Linked DNA regions of Pelodiscus sinensis. The protein of the gene in region 1 interacts with the protein of each later gene in a biochemical or structural test. Links are inferred from orthologs where the notes say so. Each region holds a gene or a part of one and is shown in the gene's direction. Other genes may lie near its edges. The genes, in order: BMP1 and CHRD.

What was found.
Region 2: of the proteins of BMP1 (region 1) and CHRD, one has a biochemical effect on the other in vitro, tested with the Homo sapiens proteins (3 studies listed by BioGRID and IntAct). The link is inferred for Pelodiscus sinensis from reciprocal best matches to the Homo sapiens genes BMP1 and CHRD.

Annotation. Positions count from the first base shown.
Region 1 is NC_134738.1:11,541,137-11,547,036, reverse strand, and holds the start of BMP1 (bone morphogenetic protein 1), read left to right. Parts: upstream 1-2,313; 5' UTR 2,314-2,610; coding exon 2,611-2,749; intron 2,750-5,900. UniProt on the Homo sapiens protein: Metalloprotease that plays key roles in regulating the formation of the extracellular matrix (ECM) via processing of various precursor proteins into mature functional enzymes or structural proteins.
Region 2 is NC_134720.1:48,396,241-48,402,140, forward strand, and holds the start of CHRD (chordin), read left to right. Parts: upstream 1-2,570; 5' UTR 2,571-2,882; coding exon 2,883-3,015; intron 3,016-4,872; coding exon 4,873-4,976; intron 4,977-5,900. UniProt on the Homo sapiens protein: Dorsalizing factor. Key developmental protein that dorsalizes early vertebrate embryonic tissues by binding to ventralizing TGF-beta family bone morphogenetic proteins (BMPs) and sequestering them in latent complexes.

The DNA of each region.
Region 1 (5,900 bases):
ACTGTGTTCTGTCCCGCGGAGGGGAGGGCAGAAGCGAGTGTAGAGACTAAAGGAAGACAGGGAACAAGTCAGCATCGTTATGAGGGGGAGAGGCATCCCTCTCCCACCCACTGCTCTATGGGCAGGCGATCAGCGTTCCCTGTCAGCTGGGGGTGCCTGTACGCCCGCTCAGGAGAGATTCAAACGCCACCCAGCTCCTGAGCAGAGTGCCCACGTGTAGGCTGGTTGTTCCTGGTGGTGGTGCACATTCCCACATGCCGTGGTGCACATGCAAAGTTTATGCCGCACATGGATGGAAAACATTAGCGGGAACATTGGCGGTGAGCGTTTGGTGCAGGCAGAGGTCTAGTCCCAAGAGGAGCATGTGGCAGGAACCCCACTGCCTGAGTCTCCTCTGCCATCTCTGCCCCCTGTGCTCTGTAAGGAGAGGCACCCAGGGCCACCAATGACTGCAGAGGCAGACACTGTGCACGCACAAACAGGACACGGGAACGCTCCGTATCCTCCCACACACCTTGACAAGTGAGCACAGCCCCCACCCAGCTGCTCCCAGCCAACACCTGCCCCCATGTACCATAGCAAGGGCGTGGCACCCAGGGCTGCTGGGAAGAGGCTGCCACGTGTGGCCTACCCCCACTCACATGACCACGGGAAAGGTTCCCAAAGTGCCTGCAGAGCCACTAACCGTTTCTGGGGCTGTGAGAGACAGGGCCCTGCTTGCCAGCCCCAGCCTGCAGCCAAGGGAGGCCCTAGGGCAGGAAGGGGAGGGGCTGGTGGCAGCAGGAGATGTGCTGCCGGGGGCCATAACTGCCCTTGAGGGGGAAATAACTTACAAGCACAAACTCGCTGCAGATTGGTGCCACCTGCAAAGAGCCAACCCCCAGCCAAGTCGGGGGCAGGGAGCTCGGCTCTCCCCTTCCTTGGGCCGCCTGTTTGCAAGCAGCCTGCTCAGTGGCTAAGAAGCGCACAGGCTGGGTGGGCTCCTGACCAAACGGGGTCTCGGGGTCCTTGTGCAAGCCAGGCAGCAGCCGCCCACCACGGGCCAGGCCTGAAGTGACACGACGTGACCTGTAGGTGTCAGCCACAGACCTAGTAGCTGGGGCTCTTTGCACAGTTCCACGTGGGAAGGCCGCTGAGGGCTCCCTGCTGGGGCGGGTGCCAGGGCCTGGCTCCATCCTTCCACCGATCAGCTCCCAGCATGGCCCTTTTGCACAGCTGAGGTGCCCGCCCCATGGCTGCGCTCCTCACTCGGGGGTCGCTTCCCGGCCCTCAGCCTGGCTGAACTGGGGGGCTCAGCAGCAGGCAGAGTCTGGCCTGGTGCATCAGTCCGGTGTGCAGACACCTGTTGCACAGATACAGGGCTCGTGCTGGGATGTGCAGGTGGGTTCCTGGGGGGCAGGTAACACCCTGCTGCAGTCCCACTGGACAGCATCCGCAGACAGGTCCAGGAGCGAGTAGGCTGCTGAGCGCACTGGGGGGCCCAGCGCATGCATACGGGATGCGGACCCCCGTCTCTGCCCTGGAATGAGACAGGGCCTCCCTCTGCAGGCTGCCAGGCCAGCACATCCCACCCGCATGAATTCACGGTGGAGAAGGGCTGCTAGAAAACGAGAGGCGGGGTAAGCGTTGCACAAGGGCTCCGCCCCCAGCCGCTCCTGGCCCCAGGTTCACCCCGGCCCCCTCAGACTCTCATGAACTCACTGGTCCAAGGCCAGGGCCTGGGGTGAGACAGGTTCAGCCCCTCCCATGGGACTTGGGAGGGAGGCGAGATTCCGGACGGCAGGGGGACATCACTGGGGCACAGCCCCACCCCGGGCGGTTCCTCTGACACTAGGGACAGCGAGGTTCCCTACCCCAGCACGGGGGGCCGGAGCCCTTAACACCTGTGCAAAGCCAGGGAGACTCCAGCCCCCCGGGACTGGCCTCTCTCTCCACCAGCAGCCTAGCACATGCAGCCAGAGGCCGGGAGCCCTGGGGTGCTCACATCCTGGGGGTGGCTGGCCCTAGGCCTGTCTGGGGGTGCACGCTCACCCAGGAGGCTGGTCCCTCCCCAGTGGCCTTCCCAAGCCGGAGCGGGTTGGGGTCTATGGCATCCCATGGACCAGCGGGGGGGGGGGGGAGGGTAAAGATCTTCCCCTCCCCCATTGCACAGAGCAAGGGCCACGAGGGAGGGGGCAGGATTTCCGAGTTGCCCTGGGGCAGCTGGGAGCCCCGCCCGCCGGGGCTGCCCCTTTCTCCCGGCTTCGCTGCAGGGAGCCCCGGGTTTGCAGCCCCCCCCCCCCCCCCCGCAGGAACCTGCCCCCGCCACGGGGCGCTGCGGGCAGGCAGCAGGGAGCCCGGCGGGGGCTGCCCGCCCCAGGGGGGCCGCGGCGCTGCTAAGCCGCCCCGGCAGCCGCGTCTCCCCCACCCCGCTGGCCCGGTGCCCAGCAGGGCTGCGTGCTGCCGGCTGGAGGGGCCGAGCTCCCGGCCTGAACCCGCCCCCGCCAGCTCCCATTTCCCTAAAAAAAAAAGAGGGGGGGGGGGAGCCCTCCGGTCTCCTGCCACTGCTCCGCGGCCCCCGCCTGCCCGCGCCGCTTCGCCCTGCGCTCCCGGGCTCGCCCGCCCGCCAGCATGTCCGGTCTCCGGGCGGGCTGGCTGCTGCTCTCCTTCGCCGTGCTGGGGCCGGCCCTGGACTTCCCCGACTACCCCGAGGGGCTGGAGGAGGAGGAGGACGCGGAGCCCATCGACTACAAGGATCCGTGCAAAGCGGGTAGGGCCGCGGGGCGCTGGCAGCCGCCGGCCGGGAGCCGCTGCAGGGCAGGGGCCGGGGGAGCCCGGGTCAGGCTGCCGGGCCGGCGGGGCAGACAAAAGGGAGGCGCCGTGTGTGGCCGGGGTTGTGGGCCCCCCCCTTTGTGTTGCAAGAAACTTTTCCAGCCCCCCCCCAGGAGGGTTGCCCCCCCCTCCGCCCGGAGTTGTGGGTTTCTGGGGGGGGGGGGTTGTCTACCTGGGGGGGGGTTGGGGGGGGGCGTACCGCCTGCGAGGGAGACGGGGAAGGAAGTTGCCACGAGATTACGGGGGGGGGGGGGTCCATCCCTCTGTTTAGACTTCGGACGTGGAAGGGCGGACGGGGCTCGAACGGGCTCGGCTCGCCCCCAGCCGGAGCTGTCAAAGCAGCAGGCGAACACTTCCCGCCCCAATGGAGCCCGTGTAACCCCCCCGCGGCCCCGGCACGACAGACCCAGCGGTCTCACTCCGGGGTGAAGGGGAGGGCTTCTGCTCCAGAGCTCAGCGGGGCAGGATCGGGCCATAAGCGAGAGGAGAATCGGGGCCTAAAGAGTTTGCAAAAGTTTTGTTGTTTTTCCTCCCTCCCCGCAGCTGAATACACCGCTGCAAGCAACAGTGGGAATTTTTTTTTGTGGGGGGGTGGGTAAGATTTACAAAGAGGGATTTGGGGTGTGCATCTCCGTTAGTGATTATTGCACGTTATGTGATCAGCGCCTTGGGGAGACACTTGGGTGTCCGTGGGCAAGTCACATCACTGCTCTGTGCCTCAGTTTCCCCATATGTGAAATGGGGACACTTTTGCAAAGAGCTGATGCTGAGAAAAGGGCCGGAAAAGTAAATGGATTAATCAGTCCAGCAGGATGCGTTGCTAATGGCCAGCGTGGGAGTTTAAAATCTAAAGGTGCAAGGGAACCCGCACAAGTGCTGGGGGCCCGGCTGGGCCGCTGAGATTGCAGGAGTGGGACCTGGACTTGTGTTTGTGCCACCAGGATGGTACAAAGCATCTTCTGATTGTATCCGAGTGATGCTTGTTATCCTCCGTGAGCAAGCCGTTCCAGGGGCTGGTATTAAAACTAGCAGCATCTACCGCCTCCCCTCCCCCCGGAAATCAAGGCTCTGTTGTGCCAGGTGCTGTATTTCATGAGAGACACTCTCTGCCCCTAAAGAGCCTGCAATCAAGACAAGAGTGCTGGGAGGGGAAACTGAGGCCCAGAGAGCGGCCGTGAGTTGCCCAAAGTGACACAGCAGATCAGGTCTTGGGAGAGCCTAATCTTGTGCTTTGGATCTTTGTGCCTTGTCCATCTAAATCTGCTCTCTTCAGCCTCCACTTCTTCACCTTGCGTTTCTGTGGGAGGGGGAAGGGACTTTAATTGTGGATTAATTTAGTGGTGGTCAGGATGGACAAAGGGAGGTTCCCGGGGAGTTCCCTGGGACTGTGCTTGCTGGTCCATTGTGTGTCTGAGACACGCGGAGTGGCACACTGGAGCCCTGCCCCCCACCTTGATTGGATCCATATGTGGCTCATTCAAATGTATGGCGGCCGTGATAGGAGTCCCCAGTCTGGATCGGGGTCCGTTGGATAGGCACGAGCACCGGCCGTGTCCTGAAGATCCTCATCGCCTGATGAGCTTTGGGCGTAACTCGGGATCAGGGCAGGGCTGTCGCTTCTTACCGGACGGGGAAACCGTTCCTACGTGGAGTTGTTCTGCTAAGACTGGCCTGGCCAACTACATCTCCCACAAAGCTCTGGGGAAAGGGGGGGGGGAAGAGAGAGAGAGAGAGAGAGAGAGAGTGTGTGTGTGCGTGCGTGTGTGTGTGTGTGTGTGTGTGTGTGTGTGTGTTTTCAAGGCACCAGCTGCAATAAGTTTTCTAGGACTTTAAGAGCAGCCGGAAACAGCTGACTCCTTGGCACAGTGGATTTATTCCGTGGCTCCCTTAAGTTCCACATGGAGGAGGGGCAGAGGGAATAGCCAAGAACGGGGCTTGGGTTTCACTGCACAGCTCAATGCCCTGGGTATCCCGCGGCCACCTACCCACCAGGGGTAACTCCCTGCTGCTCCCACCTTCCCCCTTGCCCTCTCTCCCCCTCCGCCCGACCCAGGGCGGTGCTGGCCCAGACCCGGCTGTCGTGCCAAGAGGCGTTTTCCTGAGCAACGCATCCAGGCTTGTGGTCCTGCCCGCGCTGTTATTCGAGTGCCCACATCACAGTGGTGCCCACTCCCTAGATGAAAGCAATGGGCGGTTCTCCTCGTCCTGCAGCCGTCTCCTCCCCCGCTGTCAAAATAAACCTCCCCAGCTCTGAACCAAGGCCGCCGCGGTGGCTACCGCCTTAGCAGTTCAGACTCCCCAGCGCCGAGGGGCCCCTGGGTAGATTGCAGGGCCGATGGCTGCCTCCAAGTCCGTGTGTGCTGTGAGTTCTGCCTGCAGCGTGGGGATCCTGGCAAACACCCCCACGATTGCAACTCTGGGGGTGGCAGCTCCGAGAAGGAAGCCCTGTGCGGCTTTCACTCCCCTGCCGGGGCCCGGAGGACAGCGTCCACCTAGTCTGTGTTACTGAATCATAGAAGATGAGGCTGGGAAGAAACGCCAGGAGGTCACCCTAGTTTTCCCTCCCTCCCCCGACCACCCCCAGCCAGGGAATTGCTATTTCCGTAGATCCAGATCTCTGACTACAGATTTTCCTTCTGCCCTCATCACCTGTGTATCTGCAGCACCATCCAGTTGCATTAAGCGCTCCAGGGCCGTGTCTTGCTTGTGCATTGAGGTGTCCGGGTTTTGATTTTTGTCTGTCTCTGCACGTGCTGCTGTGGACAGTTGCTGTATTGAGTGGGTGGCTTGCCCAGGGAGTTGGCAAGTCTTTGGGTAGGCAGCTGGCTGAGCCGGTTTTCTGTCTCTGAGTCAATCTTTTGTGGCAGCTCGCGTTTATAAATCCGCTAATTAGCGCTTTGGTTACTGTCGATCACGGTGGGCTGCAGGAATGTGGCTGGCAGGCCACCTGGGTTCACTTTCATAAGAAGTGTGATCTTATAGTTAGTGTTGAGGAGGGAGAGAGGGGCTAATCCCAGCTCTGGGAGGGAAGTGTGGCCTAGTGGCTAGACTAGCACATAGGGGAGCTGAATTCTGTTCCCAATTCTGAC
Region 2 (5,900 bases), on another chromosome or scaffold:
AGATCCGGGCAGCACAATGAGGGGCAGGGGGTACTGACTGGGATGGGGGGGGTCTGGGCAGTGCAGTGAGAGGGCAGGAGATTCAGGCAACACAATAGGGTGGGGGATACAGGCAGAGGATTACAGGGATTTCAGGCACTACGGTGGGGTGTGGAGGATACAGGTGGGATACGGGGGCCTGGGCAGTCTGGTGCGGGGAAGGGGTTTCAGGCTGTACAGTGGGTGCAGGTGGATACAGGCAGGGATGCAGGGATTTCAGGCGCCCTGGTGGGCGCAGGGGGATACAGGTGGTGGGGTGAGAGGGTTTCAGGCAGCACAGTGGGGTTCAGAAGATACAGGTGGGGGCTGCAGGGGTCCAGGCAACAGGGTGGGGTCCAGTAGTGCACTGAGGGACGGGGGATATAGGCAAGAGGGTGTGGGGGGTTCAGGCAGCACAGTGGGTGCAGAGGGGTTACAGGCGATCGGTGCGGGGGTCTGGGCAGCATGGTGGGTGCGAGGGGATACAGATGGGGGTACAGGGGTTTCAGGCAACATGGTGGATGCAGAGGATACAGGCAAGAGGGGTACAGGGGTTTCAGGCAGCACTGTGGATGCGGGGGGTACAGGCAACAGGGTGCAGGAGTTTCAGGTGGTGTGGTGTGTGCGGAGTGGTTACAGGCAGGAGGGTTCAGGGATTTAAGGCAGCAGGGTGGGTGGACGGGTACAGGCGGGAAGGTGCCAGGGTTTCAGGTAGCATGGTTGGTGCAGGGGGGGTAGAGGCAGGGGGGTGCAGGGGTTTCAGGCAGCACAGTGGGTGCAGGGGGTACAGGCAGGGGCACGTGGGGGTTTCAGGCAGCGTGGTGGGTGTGGAGGGGTTATAGGCGGGAGGTGCGGGGCTCCGGGCACCACAGTAGGATACAGGCAGGAGGGTGCAGGGGTTTCAGGCAGCACGGTGGGTGCAGGGGGTACAGGCAGGAGGGTGCAGGGGTTTCAGGCAGCACAGGAGGTGCAGAGGGTACAGGCAGGAGGGTGCAGGGGTACAGGCAGCACAGCGGGTGCAGAGGGTACAGGCAGGAGGGTGCAGGGGGTACAGGCAGGAGGGCAGGTGCAGGGGGTACAGGCAAGAGGGTGCAGGGGGTACAGGCAGCAGAGCGGGTGCAGGGGGTACAGGCAGGAGGGTGCAGGGATTTCAGGCAGCACAGTGACCGCAGGGGTTTCAGGCAGCACAGGAGGTGCAGAGGGTACAGGCAGGAGGGTGCAGGGGTACAGGCAGCACAGCGGGTGCAGAGGGTACAGGCAGGAGGGTGCAGGGGGTACAGGCAGGAGGGCAGGTGCAGGGGGTACAGGCAGGAGGGTGCAGGGGGTACAGGCAGGAGGGCAGGTGCAGGGGGTACAGGCAAGAGGGTGCAGGGGGTACAGGCAGCACAGTGGGTGCAGGGGGTACAGGCAGGAGGGTGCAGGGGTTTCAGGCAGCACGGCGGGTGCAGGGGTTTCAGGCAGCACAGTGGGTGCAGGGGGTACAGGCAGGGGTTGCAGGGGTTTCAGGCAGCACAGTGGGTGCAGGGGGTACAGGCAGGGGGTGCAGGGGTTTCAGGCAGCACAGTGGGAGCAGGGGGTACAGGCAGGGGGGTGCAGGGGTTTCAGGCAGCACAGTGGGTGCAGGGGGTACAGGCAGGGGGTGCAGGGGTTTCAGGCAGCACAGTGGGTGCAGGGGGTACAGGCAGGAGGGTGCAGGGGTTTCAGGAAGCATGGTAGGTGCAGGGGGGTACAAGCAGGAGGGTGCAGGGGGTACAGGCAGCACAGTAGGTGCAGGGGGTACAGGCAGGGGCTGCAGGAGGTTCAGGCAGCACAGTAGGTGCAAGGGGTACAGGCAGGGGGGTGCAGGGGTTTCAGGCAGCACAGCGGGTGCAGGGGGTACAAGCAGGGGGGTGCAGGGGTTTCAGGCAGCACAGTGGGTGCAGGGGGTACAGGCAGGAGGGTGCAGGGGTTTCAGGCAGCATGGTAGGTGCAGGGGGTACAGGCAGGAAGGTGCAGGGGATACAGGCAGGGGGGGTGCAGGGGTTTCAGGCAGCACAGCGGGTACACAGGGTACAGGCAGGGGGTGCAGAGGTTTCAGGCAGTACAGTAGGTGCATGGGGTACAGGCAGGGGGTGCAGAGGTTTCAGGCAGCACAGCGGGTACACAGGGTACAGGCAGGGGGTGCAGAGGTTTCAGGCAGCACAGGGGGTGCAGGGGGTACAAGCAGGAGGGTGCAGGGGGTACAGGCAGCACAGTGGGTGCAGGGGGTTCAAGCAGGAGGGTGCAGGGGTTTCAGGCAGCACAGGGGGTGCAGGGGGTTCAAGCAGAGGCATGCGGGGGTTTTAGGCAGCGAGGTGGGTGCGGAGGGGTTCTAGCGGGAGGTGCGGGGCTCGGGCAGCACAGAGGGGGCCGGCAGCGCAGCAGGAGGTGCGGGGGCCCGGGCTTCCCTGCCGCGGACAGGGCGGGGGCCCCTCCGTCTGTTCTCCGGGGCTGTCAGTCGGGGCAGAGGCAGCTCCGCGGAGCGGGGCGTGCGCGGGGCCGGGCTGTCCCGTCCCGCTCCCCCCGTCGGGCTCCCCGCCCGCTGCCATTGGGCGGATCGGCCGGGCGGGCTGCGCGCACCGCGGGCCCAATCCACAAGCCCCCCGCGGCCCCGCGTCTGCTTCCCATTGGGCTCCGGGCCGCGGGCGCTGGGACCCCCGCTGGGGGCCCTAATCCCCCGGCCGGCGGCTGCCTGCGCCTCGTTAGCGGGGCCTTTGTTTGCTCAGGATGCCCCCGCTCCGCGCGGCCCGTGCCGGAGCCTATAAAACCTGCCGGGGGCCGGGGCCGGGGCACTGGGAGCCCTGACTCGCCCCGCGCCGCCCGCGGGGTCCCAGCCGTGCGCGCCCATGGCCCGCCTGCCGCTGCTGCTGGCCGCGCTGTCCCTCGCCCTCCGCCCCGCGCCGGCCGCCGCCTCCCGCCCCAAGCCGCTGCTGCCCATCCAGCCCGAGAAGGACCCGCTCCCCTCCAAGGGGGCGGCAGGTAGGGGCCCGGGGCGCGGGGATGGGGCGGCAGGTGGGAGCCCCCCGGGCGGCGCGGGGCAGCGGCTGGTCGGGGGGGCGGGGGCGGCCGGGGGCCAGGCTGGGGCGAGCGGGGCCCGCGGAGCGACTCCTGCTGCCCTCCCTGGCCCAGCTGCGCTCCAGCCTCCATCTGCTTCGCCTGCATCCACTGACACCCCCGTGCGCTCGGCTTGGACGCGTGACAGCGGCGGGGAGGGGCCGGGCCGGGCAGCGTGTCACCAGCGCGGCAGCTCACAGCCCTGCCCGCTGGCCCAGCCCCGCGCCAGCCCTGCCAGGCGCGTGCCAGGGCTGGGGCAGGGGGGCAGAGCCCTGCCCCGTGCCAGAGGCAGCAGGCGGGTGCCAGGGCCTGCGCGAGGGGCCAGAGGCAGCCGGCAAGCCCCCATGGCATGGACATGGGCTGTGTGAGGTGTCCTGGGTGCAGCGGGCGGGCAGAGATGGCCCAGGGTGAGTGGGCCCAGGCCAGCCCCTGGCTGCCACAGGAGAGCAGAAGAGGGGGATTGGCTGGATGTGAGGGGGGAGTCCGTCTGGGTGCAGCAGGGTGGCACAAGGCCGGGTGCTGGGCCGCAAAGTCACATGTGGGTGCAGCAGGGTGGCACAGGACGGTGCGGCAGGGAGAACATAAGAACGGCCGTACTGGGTCAGACCAAAGGGCCATCTAGCCCAGTATCCTGTCTGCCGACAGTGGCCACCACCAGGTACCCCAGAGAGGATGGACGGAAGACAATGATCAAGCGATTTGTCTCCTGCCATCCCTCTCCAGCCTCTGACAAACAGAGGCCAAGGACACCATTTTATCCCCTGGCTAATAGCCTTTTATAGGCATCACTGAAACCTGGTGGAATGAGAGTGGCACAGGCTGGGCTCTGGGTGCGGCAGGGTGGCACAGGCTGGGTGCTGGGTACGGCAGGGTGGCACGGCTGGGCGCTGGGTGCAGCAGGGTGGCACAGCTGGGCGCTGGGTGGCATGGCTGGGCACTGGGTGCGGCAGGGTGGCACGGCTGGGGGCTGGGTGGCACAGGCTGGGCTCTGGGTACGACGGGGTGGCACAGGCTGGGCGCTGGGTGTGGCAGGGTGGCACAGGCTGGGCACTGGGTGCGGCAGGGTGGCACAGGCTGGGTGCTGGATACGGCAGGGTGGCATGGCTGGTCACTGGGTGCAGCAGGGTGGCACAGAATGGGTGCGGCAGGGTGGCACAGGCTGGACGCTGGGTGCGGCAGGGTGGCACGGCTGGGCGCTGGGTGCGGCAGAGTGGCACGGCTGGGCGCTGGGTGCGGCAGGGTGGCACAGGCTGGACGCTGGGTGCGGCAGGGTGGCACGGCTGGACGCTGGGTGCGGCAGGGTGGCCCGGCTGGGTGCTGGGTGTGGCTGGGTGGCACAGGCTGGATGCTGGGTGTGGCTGGGTGGCACAGGCTGGGCGCTGGGTGTGGCTGGGTGGCACAGGCTGGACGCTGGGTGTGGCAGGGTGGCACGGCTGGGCGCTGGGTGCGGCAGGGTGGCACAGGCTGGACGCTGGGTGCGGCAGGGTGGCCCGGCTGGGCGCTGGGTGCGGCAGGGTGGCACGGCTGGACGCTGGGTGCGGCAGGGTGGCACAGGCTGGGTGCTGGGTGCGGCAGGGTGGCACGGCTGGACGCTGGGTGTGGCAGGGTGGCACGGCTGGGCGCTGGGTGTGGCAGGGTGGCACGGCTGGGCGCTGGGTGCAGCAGGGTGGCACGGCGCTGGGTGCGGCAGGGTGGCACGGCTGGGCGCTGGGTGTAGCAGGGTGTCACAGCTGGGCGCTGGGTTGCCGGCTGTGCGCTCAGGAGTTTGTTCCCCATCTCCAGGCTGCTCGTTCGGAGGCAGGTTCTATGCCCTGGAAGACACCTGGCACCCGGATCTGGGCGAGCCCTTTGGGGTGATGCACTGTGTGGTCTGCTACTGTGAGCCGGTAAGTGGGGGCCCTCCTGCCCCTAGAGCACCTCTGAGGCTGCCCACTCGGTTGCTGCACTTCACAGTGGGCAGTGGGCACTGTGTTTGGCTCCCCCGGGCATTCAGGGGGCAGTACAGAGCCCTGGGGAGGGAAGGGGGCAGTACAGAGCCCTGTGGGGGGGGAAGGGGGCAGTACAGAGCCCTGTGGGGGGGGGAGGGGGCAGTACAGAGCCCTGTGGGGGGGGCAGTACGGAGCCCTGTGGGGGGGGGCAGTACAGAGCCCTGCGGGGGGGAAGGGGGCAGTACAGAGCCCTGTGGGGGGGGCAGTACAGAGCCCTGCGGGGGGGAAGGGGGCAGTACAGAGCCCTGTGGGGGAGGGGGCAGTACAGAGCCCTGTGGGGGGGGGCAGTACGGAGCCCTGTGGGGGGGGAAGGGGGCAGTACAGAGCCCTGTGGGGGAGGGGGCAGTACAGAGCCCTGTGGGGGGGGAAGGGGGCAGTACAGAGCCCTGTGGGGGGGGCAGTACGGAGCCCTGCGGGGGGGGGAAGGGGGCAGTACAGAGCCCTGCGGGGGGGGGAAGGGGGCAGTACAGAGCCCTGTGGGGGAGGGGGCAGTACAGAGCCCTGTGGGGGGGGAAGGGGGCAGTACAGAGCCCTGTGGGGGGGAAGGGGGCAGTACAGAGCCCTGCGGGGGGGGAAGGGGGCAGTACAGAGCCCTGCGGGGGGGGAAGGGGGCAGTACAGAGCCCTGTGGGGGAGGGGGCAGTACAGAGCCCTGTGGGGGGGGCAGTACAGAGCCCTGCGGGGGGGAAGGGGGCAGTACAGAGCCCTGCGGGGGGGGAAGGGGGCAGTACAGAGCCCTGCGGGGGGGGGAAGGGGGCAGTACAGAGCCCTGTGGGGGAGGGGGCAGTACAGAGCCCTGTGGGGGGGGCAGTACGGAGCCCTG